Mus musculus: one gene and its partner. The protein of the gene in region 2 purifies or fractionates together with the protein of the main gene of each other region. This does not show direct contact. Links are inferred from orthologs where the notes say so. Each region holds a gene or a part of one and is shown on either strand. Other genes may lie near its edges.

Evidence for each region. Proteins that work in one complex are often made in the same cells at the same time.
Region 1: the proteins of Ppp2r1a (region 2) and Ppme1 purify together in Homo sapiens (affinity purification with mass spectrometry; 11 studies listed by BioGRID and IntAct, with this or other methods). This does not show direct contact. The link is inferred for Mus musculus from reciprocal best matches to the Homo sapiens genes PPP2R1A and PPME1.

Annotation. Positions count from the first base shown.
Region 1 is NC_000073.6:100,339,099-100,347,402, forward strand, and holds part of Ppme1 (protein phosphatase methylesterase 1), read right to left. Parts: intron 6,009-8,304; coding exon 5,854-6,008; intron 2,839-5,853; coding exon 2,748-2,838; intron 1,999-2,747; coding exon 1,933-1,998; intron 1-1,932. UniProt on the Homo sapiens protein: Demethylates proteins that have been reversibly carboxymethylated. Demethylates PPP2CB (in vitro) and PPP2CA. Binding to PPP2CA displaces the manganese ion and inactivates the enzyme.
Region 2 is NC_000083.6:20,955,853-20,964,156, forward strand, and holds part of Ppp2r1a (serine/threonine-protein phosphatase 2A 65 kDa regulatory subunit A alpha isoform), read left to right. Parts: coding exon 1-168; intron 169-852; coding exon 853-1,000; intron 1,001-1,104; coding exon 1,105-1,260; intron 1,261-2,867; coding exon 2,868-2,982; intron 2,983-3,087; coding exon 3,088-3,158; intron 3,159-3,536; coding exon 3,537-3,671; intron 3,672-4,613; coding exon 4,614-4,787; intron 4,788-5,100; coding exon 5,101-5,161; intron 5,162-5,732; coding exon 5,733-5,887; intron 5,888-6,721; coding exon 6,722-6,864; intron 6,865-8,304. UniProt on the Homo sapiens protein: The PR65 subunit of protein phosphatase 2A serves as a scaffolding molecule to coordinate the assembly of the catalytic subunit and a variable regulatory B subunit.

The DNA.
Region 1 (8,304 bases), on a different chromosome or scaffold from region 2:
CAGGTTCAATGAGAGAGCCTGTCTCAAAAAGTGACCTGAGATTAACCTCAGTGCTGGGATTAAAGGCGTGCGCCACCATGCCCAGCTGTTTTAGTGCTAGAAAAGGAGAAGTTGCTGCTCATAAAAATCTGTCACTCTCCCTTCAGTTTACAAAAATTATCTTTAAAATACTTTTTAAACAGTGTGTTTTGGTCATGTTTTTTCTACTCCCTGACCCCTCTCAGATTTTCCCTGCCTCTCTACCCACCCAACTTTATGTTCTTTGTCTTTCTCAAAAAGGAAAATCAACTGAAATTGAAGATCAAAAAACCAGAACAAAACAAGTGCACAGAAAAACATGGAGTCCATTTTACAATAGGCCTATGGGAAAACCTACTCCTCTTATCTGTTAAGGAGAGAGTGGGGGCCGACCCTTCAGTTTTTTTGTCCTCTCCCTACCCTTTCTTATCCTCTGTTCTTCCTTGCCAAGCTGTGTTCTCAAAAATAATTTGTCTGTATTGTGTAGCACAAACCCTGTCTCTGACTACCCTCAGCTCTCCTAAGGGGAACCACGGGGCCGGGTGTTCATGATTTCCTATAATTACATAGGAACGCGGTACTGTTGTTTGCCCGCTTACACGTTTAGGTTTGACAGTTTTATACACATACAGAAAAACTGTAGTCACTCACACCCTGTCCCCTCTCTCATCCTCTCCTGCTGAAACCCTTCTTGCCAGTGTGTCTCCCTTCTTCTGTCATCCTGTGTTTGTATAAGGGGGCACCATTTCTAAGAAGAAGAAAATGGTAATTTTTTGGATTGGATGTTCAAACCTGCAGGTTCCTGCTGGCCATTGTCACAGTAATTGCCAGCTTCCATCAATAAATTGTAACTCAAAAAATATTTCAATATCATGTATACTTTATCATAATTAGTTCAGGATAATTAGCATAGCTATCACCTTAATGCTTTTTTCATGGTAAAATCACTCAAAAAATCTTCTTTTCTGGCCTTTTTGAAATACGTTCTACATTATTGTTAACTTTAGTTGCCTTGTTATTTAGTTCCTAAGTTAAAAGTGAAAATCAAAATGCACACAACTATTATCTGTAAATCAAAAACTTACCAAAACTTGAGACAATCAGCAATATTACTACTTAGTTAATTAATGCTATTAAGATCCTGGATTTTAGGTATGATAATGTCATTATTCTTATGTTATCTTTTCTTCCAGAGCATAAGGAATTCTTGCAAAAGTAATCAGGTTTGGGTAGAGTTTGCTTCAAGGCATTTCTGCCCAGAGGAAGTAAACAGGCACACAGACTACACAAGACCTGCCATTGGCTAAAGCACTCAAAATGGGCACTGACCACAGCAGGGTTCCTTGAATGACACTAAGATGTCGTTTCCAGAAATTCAGGATCTTACCAACAAGACTGCAGACTGAATCTGCCACACAGTCCCTGTCACAGCAAGCACCCCACCATGCCACTAGGATTTCATCTAACTCCTGCACTCCTGCCTGCTCTAAGGGACGATGGTTTCTCAAGTAACATTCATCTGTGGCCACACAAAGGACTCGTGTAACTCCACAGGAAAGATCACTTAGGTTAAGTAACGTTAGCTCAGCCTTTGAATTTATTTTTTACTCTAGTTCTGCCAGAATTTTCTACTTGCACATCCTAGCTAACTGAGTTTGGCTCAGTGACAACAGGGCTGCTAACACAGGGACACTAGAGTAGATACTTAGTTTAAATGTTTACTCACTGGACACTATCAAGCTTTAGGGTTTATAGAAACAAAACAAAATTGGCTAGCCTAACAGAACTCAACTTGACTTTTCTCTAAAAGAATGGAAGCATTTACCAGTGTGGCAGAGTAAGTGTAGAAATAAAGGAACAATCGAATTCTGTCCTATCTCTTACTCTCTAACCAGGCAGAGATAAAAGACCTACTGTTTGACTTGGCCGACCATGGATACACGGGCAGACTCAAGGTTTCGAATCTGGCCACTCTTCACACTAGTAAAGGAAAATAAGGAAGGAGAGGTTACTCTGCATTCATCTCAGCACAACATCAGAAGGAAGGAGTAATTTTGTAGATTGCATAGGATCAAACAAAAAGCTGCAGTCACCATGTGCTTCAGCATGAAGAAAACTTTATACAGACTTATAAAATTATCAATTGGACTAATGAATATATTCATGATTGACAGCCTTTAACAGAAGCCATGGGTAATTCTATCAGCAATTTTTATAATAAACTATTTACTATTAGGTTTTTATCATAAACACAAATAATTCTAGAGAGAGGAATCTCCACTTGCCCTGCTCACTCCAGAACAGAAACTCCATCTGCTATTTCTTTATCATTTTATGTCAAACACAGAAAGTGGATGTAGAACCATGGAGCTTCAGAGGAGGAGGCGGCCTTGCAGACCACCTGGTCTAAGTCCTCAACTTCAGGGCAAACCCAGCTGGACAGCAGGTGGCCTGCGACCACTAATGTCCTAGGAGATGGTATATTAGGCACACTTTACAGAGGACTGCGGCAAGTATGAAACATTTAAAAAATACTCTGCTTTGAACTATTTCCTTACATACTATCACAGAAAGGGAGACTCACCTGTTTATCTTAGTACCTGAGCTGACTTAAAAATAGAGGGAGGATGGGAAGGAGGGAGGCAAGGAGGGAGGGAGGGAGGAAGAAAAGAGAGGCGGGGCAGGTTAGAATATAACATTTAAAATTAAGTCTTAGGTTTGTGGGTTACCTCCATTCAATAGCATTCTCCAAAGACTTGAAGGTTTTAGGTCGACCACGCAAGAAATTCTGCATGCTATTAAGTGCATCCATGGCGGTACCTGAAACAAAATTTTAAATATATCAATAAACTTTTTCGTTTTCTTGCTTTACAAATTGTACTAAATATTTCTTTTCCCTTTTTAGGTTAGTACACAAATCCTGGCTCCATCACTCCTGCCATACTTTGTTGCTGGGTGCTCACACTCCCCTCCCTGACTACTCCTTTCACGCCCCGCTCCAGCTGGCTTTCCTTCTCCCCCAGTTAAGTCCCCTCTTCTGATCTCTTATCATATATAACCCATTACCCTCTCACCACCTTAAGATAGTGTCCTCCTCTCACGATGATCTTTTATAGCTCCCTCTCCCTCCCTCCCTCCCTCCCTCCCTCCCTCTCACACACACACAATTTTAAATTTACTTTCCACATATGAAAGAGAACATGGGAGAGTTCTCTGAGGTTCCTCCTTTTTTTTTTTTTTTTTTTTTGTTTTTTTTCAAGACAGGGTTTCTCTGTGTAGCCCTGGCTGTCCTGGAACTCAGTCTGTAGACCAGGCTGGCCTCAAACACAGAAATCTTCCTGTCTCTGCCTCCCAAGTATCTGAGGCTCCTCCTTATTGGAGGAAGTGTGTCACTCTGGAGGTGGGCTTTGAGGGCTCCTAATGCTCAAGCCCCGCCCAGCACAGAAGAGAGTAGAGGGTCTCCTCCTTGGCTACCTTCAGATCGAGATGTAGACCTCTCAGCTCCTCCAGTACCATCTCTGCCTGCACACTGCCATGCTTCCACCATGATGATAATGGACTGAACCTCTGAACCTGTAAGCCAGCCCCAGTTAAATGTTTTCCTTTATAAGAGTTGCATGGTCGCTGGGTGTGGTGGCGCACGCCTTTAAACCCAGCACTCAGGAGGCAGAGGCAGGCAGATTTCTGAGTTCGAGGCCAGCCTGGTCTACAAAGTGAGTTCCAGGACAGCCAGGGCTATACAGAGAAACCCTGTCTTGAAAAAAACAAAAAAACAGAAAAACAAACAAAAAAAGAGTTGCTTGGTCGTGGTGTCTCCTCTTAGCAATAAATCTCTAAGACACATAATGATTTACAGTTTCATCTGTTTTCCTGCAAATGTCATGATTTCCTTTTTTCTTTATGGCTGCATAAACTTTCTTTGCACATATGTATCACATTTTATCTAATGCATCTATACTGGATATCCAGGCTAGTTCCATTCCCTGGCTATTGTGAACATAGCAGCTTTACAATGGGTGTGTCTCTGGTATTCTGATTTCTACCAAAACAGGTAGAGTTGGGTCATTGGTAGTTCCAATTTTTGAGGAATCTCCATACTGATTTCCAGTGTGGCTACATTCCAGTCAGCAACGAGTAAGGGTCCCTCCTTCCTCATATCCTTACCACCAAGCAATCATTTGTTTTAGTGATGACAGGAATCTTGACTAAGGTGCTTGAAATCTCAAAAACAGTTTTAATTTGCATCTCCATGATGATTAAGGATATGAAATAGTTTTTCTATTCTTTATTAGCAATTTGTTTTTCTTCTTTTGAGAACTTTTTTTTTTAGCCCATTCATTGACTAAATGATATCACCTTCTGGTGTTGAATTTTACATATACATTAAATATATATATGTATGTGTGTGTGTGTATACACATATATTTATACATACTGTATTTATGTATACAGTATATGTTTTTATATGCTGGATATTAATATATTTATATATTGGATATTGATCTCCACTATGATCTAGCTTTCAGAGATCCTTTCCTGCTCTGAAGGCCACCGTGGACTTCCAGTGGTTAATTGTTCAGATTACTTCCTGTGCTATTGGAGTCCTACTCACCCTTGCCTATGCCTGTATCACCATGTGAACAAAGCTGCTCATGTTACTCTTCACATTCACAATGACGGGATGCCATTACTTGTACGGGCAGACTCCTCCCCAAAAGGTTCACGTGTGGATGGCTTGGTCACCAGCTGTTCACACTATTGAGAGGTGGTTAAATAATGAAGATACTAACTTCACTGATAGAGTATCTATTGTTGAGTGCATACTGAGCAGGCTGTTTGGAGGCAGGACCTACTTAGAGGAAGCAGTAACTCGGGGCAAGCCCTGGGAGTACAGTCTCCCTCCCTCTGTATGAAATGCTGACTCTCCACATCCTAAAAGAAATGGACCCACTAGCCACAGACCCAAACCTGACACTGTGGACCAAAAACCTTTCCTCCTTTAAATTGCTTATCTCAGATATTTTGTCACAGGGGCAAAACTGTCAAATTGAGTCAACTCTATATCTTTGCTCCTGGTAACAGGAAAATTCAGTGATACTTGGGTAAAAGTAAAGATGCAATTTAATAACATTGCAAGAATTAACACAAGCCAGCTTCCAATATGAGTCTCAGCAATTCTTGACTACTGGTATTCACTCCTTGTGTGGCACACATCAATAGATATAGCTAACCTGTACAAGCAGCAGTGAGATTCTCAGGGTAAGTCAGAAAATTAAAAGCAGTTTCTTTTTAAATGGAAAACTAAGAGACATACATGCACATGATTAGAAGTATTATTCAGCCATAAAAAGGTATTCTTGAATAGTTTTTGGTAACATGAAAAATGACTGTATAATCTTTTATTAGATATTTTCTTCATTTACATTTCAAATGCTATCCCAAAAGTCCCCTATACCCTCCCCCTGCCCTGCTCCCCAACCCACCCACTCCCACTTCTTGGCCCTGGTGTTCCCCTGTACTGGGCATATAAAGTTTGCAAGACCAAGGGCCTCTCTTTCCAATGATGGCCGACTAGGCCATCTTCTGATACATATGCAGCTAGAGACACACGCTCTAGGGGTACTGATTAGTTCATATTGTTGTTCCTCCTATAGGGTTGCAGACCCCTTCAGCATCTTGGGTACTTTCTCTAGCTGATTGTATAAAGACACAAAGACATAGGGGTACACTTCAAGATGAATGAAATTGAGACTAAATTAAGGCCAAGGTAATACCATACCAGGGGACCTCCTACAAATGACTGAATCTGGTTTGATCAGTACTAAGAAAACTTACCTTCTACAACATCAATCATGCAAAGGCCCAAGAGGCTTGGTACCAGGTTAGCTGCGGCTGTGTGCACTGCAATGGCGCCACCCATGCTGTGCCCAATCAGCATGACTGGAGGAGGGAGGTCTCCATACATGGCTTCCACCACATTGCCAACATCTCTGCAAAGAAAGAGAAAACTGAGAGTGCTGGAGGAAGACACCAAAAATAGCTTGCTTTCTCAGTTTCTTCTGTTGGACTGTAACTAAACGTTGTGGGAAATGGTAAAGACTCACAGGGCCACTCTACAAAGACACCTATGTAAGCCTGCATGCACGGTCCCTAGTATCTATGCAGAGAGCAACACACCTAGTTCTCCAGATAAATGGCCAGTTAAGGACTAAGAACCCCAAATTTCTGATCTTTCTTAGTACCATCCTTTTATCATCCTACAAATTTAGTACAATCATATAAATATACAACTGTATGTTAATTTAAGCTTGGCATTCCGGAGAAATAATTTACTCTAAGCCTCTGTTTTTCCATGAATAATGCAATAAGGCTTGGGGTAGCAGCATACGATCAGCCTCTGTATGAGCTATATCAACTTCACTAGGAGCTTTTTTCTGTCATCTAACATAACTTATTTGTTTTACATTTGTGTGTGTGTGTGTGCGCACATGTGGAAGTCAGAGGACAATCTGTAGGAGCTGCTTTGAGAAATGAGTGAGAAGTGAATGTAAACTGTTATCCAAAAGGTAAAGTACTATTCAAATGAAAAGACTCAGCTGAAAAGAGAATTCAAAAGTTAAAAAAAAAGAAAGAAAAAGAAAAAAAAGAAAAAAAGAAAAAAGAAAGAAAATCCAAGTTTCCTTTACAGCAGTGTTGCTTCAAAAGACAAGATACCTTGGGAAAGGCAAAGTGTTACTTAGTGCAAAGGAAAAAACTAAAACTTATTCAGTGTAGCTGTGATTAACAAATGCCTTTTTCAAATTCATATATTGTAAAGTATAATTCTTTGCAAGTTTGCAGTATTTCTGTTGGAAAAGCAATCATTGATAAAAGTTAAACATTGTGCTTAACTTCGGTCTATATTCTTGTTGGCTTTTGTTCTAGAGAGTAGTAGAAAAAGGTAGGACTTACAAAAGTGACTGGGCCATAAAACTGCTTTATAGAGTAATGAAGGAGTGACTGTTATAAAGAGCGTTCTCTCTGGCTCACAGCTATCTCCTTTACCATACTATAATCCAAGACTAGTATCTGGCTCTAAACTGTGAGCCTAATAAACTACTGTAGTGATGCAGCAATGTCAGGCAAGGACCTGTCATGCACATGTGTCATCTAATGTCATTCTTCCACAACCTTGTCTGAAAGGGTCCTTTCTACTATTCTCTAAGACACTCACTCAGACATACTTATCAACTGTAAAATTAGCCAGCAATTAAATTCATTGGGTCTACCAAAATAACATTGTATTTCTACCAAAATTACAAGGAAAAAAGCTGCAAATTTCTGCTACCACATTAAGGATAATTAAAGCCCCTTTCCTTGGAATCCAGCACTATGGACCCATAAAGTCAGCACAGTTCAAGAACAAAGGTGACTTAGATGAGGAGAAGTCTTTAGAACAAGTAACATAGGAGACTTACACAGCTTCAGAAAGGAAAGCCAAGTCATATTACTATATATCAATATGACAGAGCAGAAAAAAACTGTATGTTCATTCCTATGTAAAGATATATATGTACTTACACATAGACAATTGGCTCAATTAATTAATCTAAAGCCATGTGGGGTATGATTCTATTATTTAGGGGCAAATCTTTAAAAAAATAGATTAAAGTTTAGAACAAATATCAGTGTATAACTTCCAGAAAAATTCTCAATTCTAGTAAAATTTTAGTTGATAAGGATGAAATGAGTTAAATAAAATGTTCTGGAAGACATTAAATTACACATCTTAAAATACATATTAACTGAGTTAGACATTTACTATGAAAGTTGTAAATGTATGAAGGTAGACCGGGTCTAAAATGCATAACAGGGCTTGGAGAGACAGCTCAGTGGGTAAGAGCACTGGCTGCAGCCAGGCAGTTGTGGCCTATGTCATTAATCCCAGCACTAGGGAGGCAGAGGCAGGTGGATCTCTGAATTCAAGGACGACAGCCTGGTCTACAGTGCAAGTTCCAGAACAGCCAGGGAACACAGAGATACTCTGTCTTGAAAAACAAAAACAAAACAACAACACTACACTAGCAGCTTTTCCAGAGGTTCCTGAGGGACCAGGCAAACATGTGGCAAACTATCTATACCCATAAATAATAAAAATATTTTAAAGTATATTATATGTCTAGGTTTTACTGCTAAAAATACTGATTCAGCAGGTCTGGGGTCTGTCCAGTGCACTTGCATTTTTTGCTATATGACCCTGATGAGTGAACACATTGAGAAGTATGGAATATACACTACTTGACTTAG
Region 2 (8,304 bases):
GCGGGCCATCTCTCATGAGCACTCACCTTCCGATCTAGAGGCTCACTTTGTGCCTCTGGTAAAGCGGCTGGCGGGTGGAGACTGGTTCACCTCCCGCACCTCGGCCTGTGGTCTCTTCTCAGTTTGCTACCCCCGAGTATCCAGTGCCGTGAAGGCAGAACTTCGACAGTAAGTTCTCACTCCCATCACCTTACCTAACCTTCCTCTAAGCCTCAGCCCCTTTAGGTCTTCCATGACCTAATGTCTAATGTCCTTGATGACTCCCTCCTCCCTCCTCAGTTCTCCAAAGAGGCTTGTCCTTCACAGTGATCACTGGACACTGTACTTCAGCAGTGAATTTGCCTGGTCTGCCTTCATGGAAATTTATTCCTGCCATTAGTTACACATTGTGGGCTTGGAGCAGAATACAGCATAACAAATAGTATCTGGTATTATTTCCAGCCTGCTCCAGGTTTAGACCCCTCATTTGCTGACTGCCTTGTTGCTCATAACTATTAAGCAGAAGTTGCTGAGATGTCACTTCATACCACATGCTGCATGTCTCCAATTGTTTCCCATGTATCTCTTAATGAGGCAATTGCTCCTGAAATGGAAGGCAAGTTTTAAACCGTTCTTAGTACTGTGTTGTACTGTTTGACTGATACGTCAAATCAGCTGTGTGGGGACTTGCTATTGCCATTGGTCCGTATAATAGTTTATAGAGCTGAGAAGACAGAGAAGTCATGAGTTATACAAAGTCACCATTGTCAGCACCAGAATTTACTGCAGAACCAGCAGTGCTCTGTGCTGTGCCGGGACACTAGCAGTTAGGACTTTCCAGGATTCTAAGTCTGGACCTCCATCCAATCCCAGGTACTTCCGGAACCTGTGCTCAGATGACACCCCCATGGTGCGGCGGGCCGCTGCCTCCAAGCTGGGGGAATTTGCCAAGGTACTGGAGCTGGACAATGTCAAGAGTGAGATCATTCCCATGTTCTCTAACCTGGCCTCTGACGAGCAGGTAAGTCAGTCGTCAGCTTTCACAATGCAAGTAAGCTTAGAAGGGAGTGCACCCTTAAGACTCAGTGGGCCTGTGTTTCCCTACCCCTCTGCTGTTTTCCCTAGGACTCGGTGCGGCTGCTGGCAGTGGAGGCATGTGTGAATATTGCCCAGCTTCTGCCACAGGAGGACCTGGAGGCCTTAGTGATGCCCACCTTGCGACAGGCTGCTGAGGACAAGTCTTGGCGTGTTCGCTACATGGTGGCCGACAAGTTCACAGAGGTAGGTTGCCATAGTTCCACAGGTGTGGACACTGAGGCTCTCTGAGGGGAGAAGGGAGCAACATACAGGAACTGACATACTGTATTTTAAGGATAGTACGGTCCTGAGTCTTAAAGAGAAACCCAATGATCTCCCAGAGCCAGTCCTGGGTGGGTGATTCAAATCAGACCGCTGTGTTGAGAGTGATTCTGAAGCCAAGTTTCAACTCCATGAAAGCATTTTCCCTAAACTTATAACCTCTCTAAGAAAGACACAGCCCCAGTGATAGTGGCAGCAACCACAAGCTAGTCAGAGCAGGGACATATATGCTGTTTGTGCTGAGATCCAAATGTTCTTAGCCAACAGCATGTACTCCCCACCACCCCCTTCTTGCTAATTCTGAGAGTTGAACCCAGTTCTTTAACCATGTTAGGCAAGTGCTCTCCTGTTGGCCATATTCCCAAGTCTGTAGTTAAGAGCATTGTCCTTGGTCGAGGTTCTGGAGTGAGTTAATTGCACACATTCCTGGTCTTCAAGGAGCAAGCTAAAAGTCAGCTTCAATAGAAAGTGCTGATGGGGGCTGGAGAGAAGGCTCAGAGGTTAAGAGCACGGACTGATCTTCCAGGGGTCCTGGGTTTAATTCCTAGCAACCACAGGTTTGCTCACAACCATGTATAACGTAATCTAATGCCCTCCTCTGATGTGTCTGAAGAGTGTGACAGTATACTCACATACTTATAATGAATAAATCTTTTTTTTTAAAAGTTAGTTCTAATGGAATATTTTGTGTTTTGTTTCTCTTGACGGCTCTGTGATACTTAGAGCAAAACAATAAGCCTGTGCAGAGGATGTAGGCGATAAGAGACTGAGTAAGAAGTAGCATTCATGGCTGGGTGCTGAAATTCAGTGAGCAGAGGAGCAGAAATGATGGAGAAGAGCTCTCTCATGGAAGACTCAGCCCTAAGGAATGTATTCCTGGGTCTAGTGAAGTTGTTTGAGATCTGGCCGTGTAGAAGAAGTAGGCTGACACTGTGACTTGGACGACAGGGTCATGGGATATGGAAATAATAGTCTGTCCACAGCACACAGCTCATAAGTACAGTACAAGGCCCTGCAAGGTGTTTACGTCATTACTTTTAGTAGTAGAGTCATCCTGCTTTCAACTGTTCTTCCAACAACCAAGTTGAAGCAAACTCATCCACATACTTTTCCTACATCCTTGTTACTGGCATGTGTTTTCCTCTTCACTGTTTTTAATCATTTTCATTGCAAAAATGATACCAACTTCTTGTAACAATTTTAATAAAATTCAGTTATGTTTACATATTTTCATGTTAGATGAAATCAGGGACCACTTACTGTGTTTAGGTAGTAAGAAATCCAACCTCATATAACCTGGGCAATAAATGGAAAACATACTGTGCAGAATGTCCTGTAACCCTCATTCTGTTTCTGAAGAAGTCATCAGAGACGTGACGACTTCACTTGTTGGTCGTGTCATCATGCTGGAACTATGTCCCTTGTGCTGCGTCCTAACCTTATTCTGGTGCTTTCATCTCCATTTTTGCCTCTTTAGCCCTGAGTGATTGCCAGACTCTTCAGTTCTGCTTCTCTTCTCTATTGTACAGCTCCAGAAAGCAGTGGGGCCTGAGATCACCAAGACAGATCTGGTGCCTGCCTTCCAGAACCTGATGAAGGACTGTGAGGCCGAGGTGAGGGCCGCAGCCTCCCACAAGGTCAAAGGTTGGTGCTGACAACCAGAACACAACTAGATGGGTGGATTTCTAAGAGGCAGAAATGGGCCCAGAGCATCAAATCTCACTAATACCTTCCTCTCCCTGCCCACAGAGTTCTGTGAAAATCTCTCAGCTGACTGCCGGGAGAATGTGATCATGACTCAGATCTTGCCCTGCATCAAGGTAATAGAGTATTTGGTTGTAGGATTTGGTTTTAGATACAATCAGATCCAAGGCCTTTTGAGATACTGTAACTGTTTAACAGTCATGGATTAGGCTGTAGGCAAAATCTGAAGGTTGAAACTGACCCTCAGATCTAAGGGATGTATTTACTGCTCAGAGACCAGAGTTCCCTTATCCACAGAGTTTTGGGGAATAGGGCAGTGGCCCCAGGATCGGGGCTCACATAACCATCTCTTTAAATGTAGTGCAGCCCTGAGATGCCCTGCCTATGAAAAGCAGAAGACTGTGGTCTTAGAATTGGGGCTACTGTCTATGTGGCCAGTTATCATTAAAGGGGATTTTTCTGACCTTGGCTCCCTCCTTCCTTCTCTTCTGAAGGAGCTTGTGTCAGATGCCAACCAACATGTCAAGTCAGCACTGGCTTCAGTCATCATGGGCCTCTCTCCCATTCTGGGCAAAGACAACACCATCGAACACCTCTTGCCCCTGTTCTTGGCTCAGCTGAAGGATGAGGTAAGAGTGGCAGGAAGGTTTTCAAAGTCAATCAAATTATCCAAAAGTATTTTAAAAGTTTGGCACCACACTCTACACTCTCTGCTTTGATAAGTTGATGACAGGCAAAAGTGTCTGCTTGTTCACTCGTTCTTGTCAGACATGCCTCATGTGCCTTTAATTTTGTACTCATCCGTTCCCTGAGTGTTGAACAAAGACCAAGACAATGGTGATCTTTAGGGATCTATAGAATGTGCCAGTAGAGAGGACAGATGGATAAATTGTCCCATAATTCAACTCAGAAACTAGGTACTGGGAGAAGTGCGCCATAGTTTAAAGCTTCATGTTTCCACTGAAATAGCTCTAGCTTGTGTCTTCTACATGCTCTGTTGGCCATAGCCAGTCTGGTCACCATACTTGCCTGTGCACTGTAGTAACAGTTTAGGGAATTGGATTTGAATCTGTAGGCAAGTGCTGCAGCTGCAAGAGATCTTTCTGTTAGGAAAATATAGCCAGTGTTAGTGAGAGATAGGAGAGATGGCCAGAGATCCTGGGAAGCCAGACTAGTGGGATGCTATCCATTGGCATTCTTTAATGGAGCACTTTGGTAGATTATACTGTGGCTTCTTCTACGGTGGTGAATGCAGATTTGTCCCCATGACTCATAGGCTGTTCCTACTCAAGAAATCATGTCCAAAGGTCTGGGATTCTGTGTCAGTGAGAAGTGAGAATGATAGAAAATATTCCCAACATATTCACTCCTTTGTGTTCCAGACACTAGGTACTTCTTTCAGTTTATCAAGTGCTCCCATTTCACGTTGCAGAGCCTCAGCTACTCTTGAGACGAGGTGGATATTTTGTGTTATAGGACAATACCCAGAAAGAGCTCTTGCCTGCTCCTCTCAGCCTTCTAGGGTTGCTGTATGTAGTATGTTCTCTCAACCTTCCTATTTTCTTTCCAAGTGTCCTGAAGTCCGACTGAATATCATCTCCAACCTGGATTGTGTGAACGAGGTGATTGGCATCAGGCAGCTCTCTCAGTCCCTGCTTCCTGCCATCGTGGAACTAGCTGAAGATGCCAAGTGGCGAGTGCGGCTGGCCATCATTGAATACATGCCTCTGCTGGCTGGACAGCTTGTGAGTGAGGATCCATCCAGGTTTTGCTGGTCCTGAAGTGATAAGAGTATAGGGTCCAGTCCTATCCCCAGTACCAGGGCTGTGTTGCTGTAACAAGGGACTTGGAGATACCTCTTGTAGGCAGTGACAGCTGCCCATGCAGAGAGGACTCTACTCTGAAATTAGACTCTTAGCAGATGAGTGGGGTTCATTCAGAACAAGAACACTTAGCAGATCAGGTGGGGTTGAGAATTGCATGATTCTCTGGGACCAGGCCCTCCCTTCCATCCTTCCTCTCACCCCTCAAATCCTTACCAATCTTTTTTCCCCGCAGGGTGTGGAATTTTTTGATGAGAAACTAAACTCTTTGTGTATGGCCTGGCTAGTGGATCATGGTAAGTTCCCCCAGCAACACAGCAGGATAGGTTAACCCCAAAGACAGAAAGATAATTAGGACATTCTTCTGCTGTCAGTGCTTACATGTTGCTGTTAAGAAGCCATAGTGTAGATTGGGGTTGAGGTTATGGGTGGATGCAGAAGACCTGAGTTTGAATCCTTAGTCTGCTGAAACATACCAAGTGTCTTCCCATCTTCTATCTTTACGCTCATTCCAAAACATGAAGACTTCTTACCATGGCCTCTCAGCCCTTGTGAAACACATTATTTGTTTTTTATTAATGGGGTTAAAAAATTTACTGTTTTTTTTTCTACCAGTTTTAATTAGTATGTATTAAAGTGTAATTTACATTAGCAGAGCCTCAACCATCAATCCTTCTGAATAATGAGGCAAATGGTGCCTGCCTCTGTAGGTGGCCAAAAGGTGCTGTATGAGAAAGAGAAACTAGGTTAACATAGCAAGTGCTATTTTCTGTTTTTGCTGAATTTGCTGATATGTGTGTAGCTGTTAATGCCCTCCTGCTCAGTCCTTCATCTTGAATCACCTCCCTTGCTCTGTCTCCATTGCAGTCTATGCTATCCGTGAGGCTGCCACCAGCAACCTTAAGAAATTAGTAGAGAAGTTCGGGAAGGAGTGGGCCCATGCCACTATCATCCCCAAGGTCTTAGCCATGTCTGGAGACCCTAACTACCTGCACCGAATGACTACACTCTTCTGCATCAATGTGAGCACCCCAACTGCCTATAGATCCCAGGGAACGGGAGTGCTGCTGATGTGAAGGTGGAGGAAGACCCTTTGTCTACCCAGATGTTTGGCTTGGGAATAGAAACATGACTAAGGATAAGTTTCTGAGGACTGCAGGCTAATGCTTGAATCTGCAGTATTTGATCGGGTCTCTACAGGGCCAAGATTGCATGGTGAGAGATCCAAGTTTGGGAGGCTTCTGTATGAGAGCAGCAGCCTCATATTCTGTGCACCTCTACTGGTTGGGAAGGAGAACACATGCTTCTGTCACACATCATAGGACCTAACCAGTTAGTAGTTTGGTTTTCTCATCTTTTGAGATTTATGGTGGTTTTCAACAGGATGTGAAAAATAATGTAATAATAGAGAGCATAGAACAGTTCTGATTCTGTGTCAGAATATACTTACTACTCATTTTTAGTTGTGTTTTACTTCTTATACTGTTTAGTGACATGTAAATCCTACACAAGCTAGAAGCTAAAGATGGGTTAGAAACAATCTTAAGTAAACATTTTGCTTATTTCCTCTGCTACAATTTCGAGATTCCGTTATGAAGGTGGCATTTCAGGGGATAGAAATCCAGACCTCTCAAATGCTGAGAATGATGGAAGTCCAGATATAAAGTCTGAAACATCCCCAGTGAAGACTGTGTTAGGGATTTTAGAACTCCCCACAGTCATGCTTCTAGACCCATACCCTTCCATGTTGCTCCTGGGTCCTGATGATGACTCAGGCAGCATATTCAGAAGAAGATATATGGGGACTTAGCAGTAAGCCTTGCATAACTGTACTTCTGCCATTCACTGGTTTTCAGGTGTTGTCTGAGGTCTGTGGACAGGATATCACCACCAAGCACATGCTGCCCACAGTTCTTCGTATGGCAGGGGACCCAGTTGCCAATGTCCGCTTCAATGTGGCCAAGTCACTCCAGAAGATAGGACCCATTCTTGATAACAGGTGAGGTCTGGGGGTTCTAAACATCTTAGATATTTAAAGACAGAACTCAGGGTCTGATTTCTTTATGCGTTGTGACCCATGCCTGTTCTTTCCTCTCCACAAAGTCTATCTTCTCTGTTTTAGAATAAGAATTCATTTCTCTAGAGTACAATGAAAAAAGAAAGGCAGAGGCAGGTGGATTTCTGAGTTCGAGGCCAGCCTGGTCTACAGAATGAGTTCCAGGACAGCCAGAGCTATAGAGAGAAACCTTGTCTCAAAAAACAAGAAGAAAAAAAAAATACATGTAATGAAATATACTTAACATTTCTAGGGAAACTATTAAGCACTGCCACAGGAAGCTTTGGTAAACATATAGTCTTCATTCCCTGTACTTATATTTGAGGCCATTATATATCAGCAGAGTTTTAGTAGGAACTGGCCTGGGAATGCAGAGTGCTTGGCTAGCCCATACATCCTAAAGAACAAAACTATGCACCTCAAGTCTACCTGACACATAATTTAGAAACAGCATGGGGCAGGGACAGGATATTCATGTCTCACTAGAATATTTTCTAGAGCACTCTGGTACCATTGTAGTTTGATGGCTAAGTGTCTGTCTTCTAAAACTGACTGGATCAGTTGGTTGCCCACATAAACCCAAACAGAATTTCTGCCTCTACATAAACAAATTAGTTTTTGAGCTAGAACCAGCATGATGAATAAAACATGTAGAAAATATAGAATGTCTTCATGTCTTGAGTTGGACATAAACCTGCTAAGATGCCAAAAGAAGTGATTGATAAGATGGCCCTCAAGAAAATGAAAAGCTGTGTATCAGAAGGCTAACCTGACAGTGTGGAGATGTTTCTATATAAAGAACTCCTCTAGTATCCTATATATAGGAAGATAAAGAATTCCCATGATACACATGGGAAGAAGACATAGAGGAAAGTATGGCATATGACATTCAAGTGGGAGTATGGGAAGATGAGAGCTACAAGTAGGGTTGAGAGAGGGGAGGAAGGAAGGTAGTCAAAATTAATATATGTGAAAATATGAGAATGAGGTAACTTGTGCTTTTGTTTCAGTTTAAAAGTACTGTCTTCACATGCTCAGTGAGGACATCGACTAGGTGCTCTGCAGTGTACGCTGTTAACATAGCACAGGTTACAGCTGAAATACTCGGCTGAACATCGTGCTATGGGAATTGTAGTGCAGATAGGATGAGCATTTTAACTGGAAGGATCCAGCTAGCTAGATGTAGACCCTAATCCAGCCCTTGCTTTTAGACAGTACTCAGTGTTGCTACCCCCTCAACCCCTTGAAAATGTGGTGGGCTTATATATTATAATCATAAGAAAGAATAATCCAAATGCTGGTACAGAGTATGAGTTAAAATAGTTAATATGGGTCTGGAGAGATAATGGTTCAGGGGTTAAGAGCACTAGCTTCTCTTGAGAG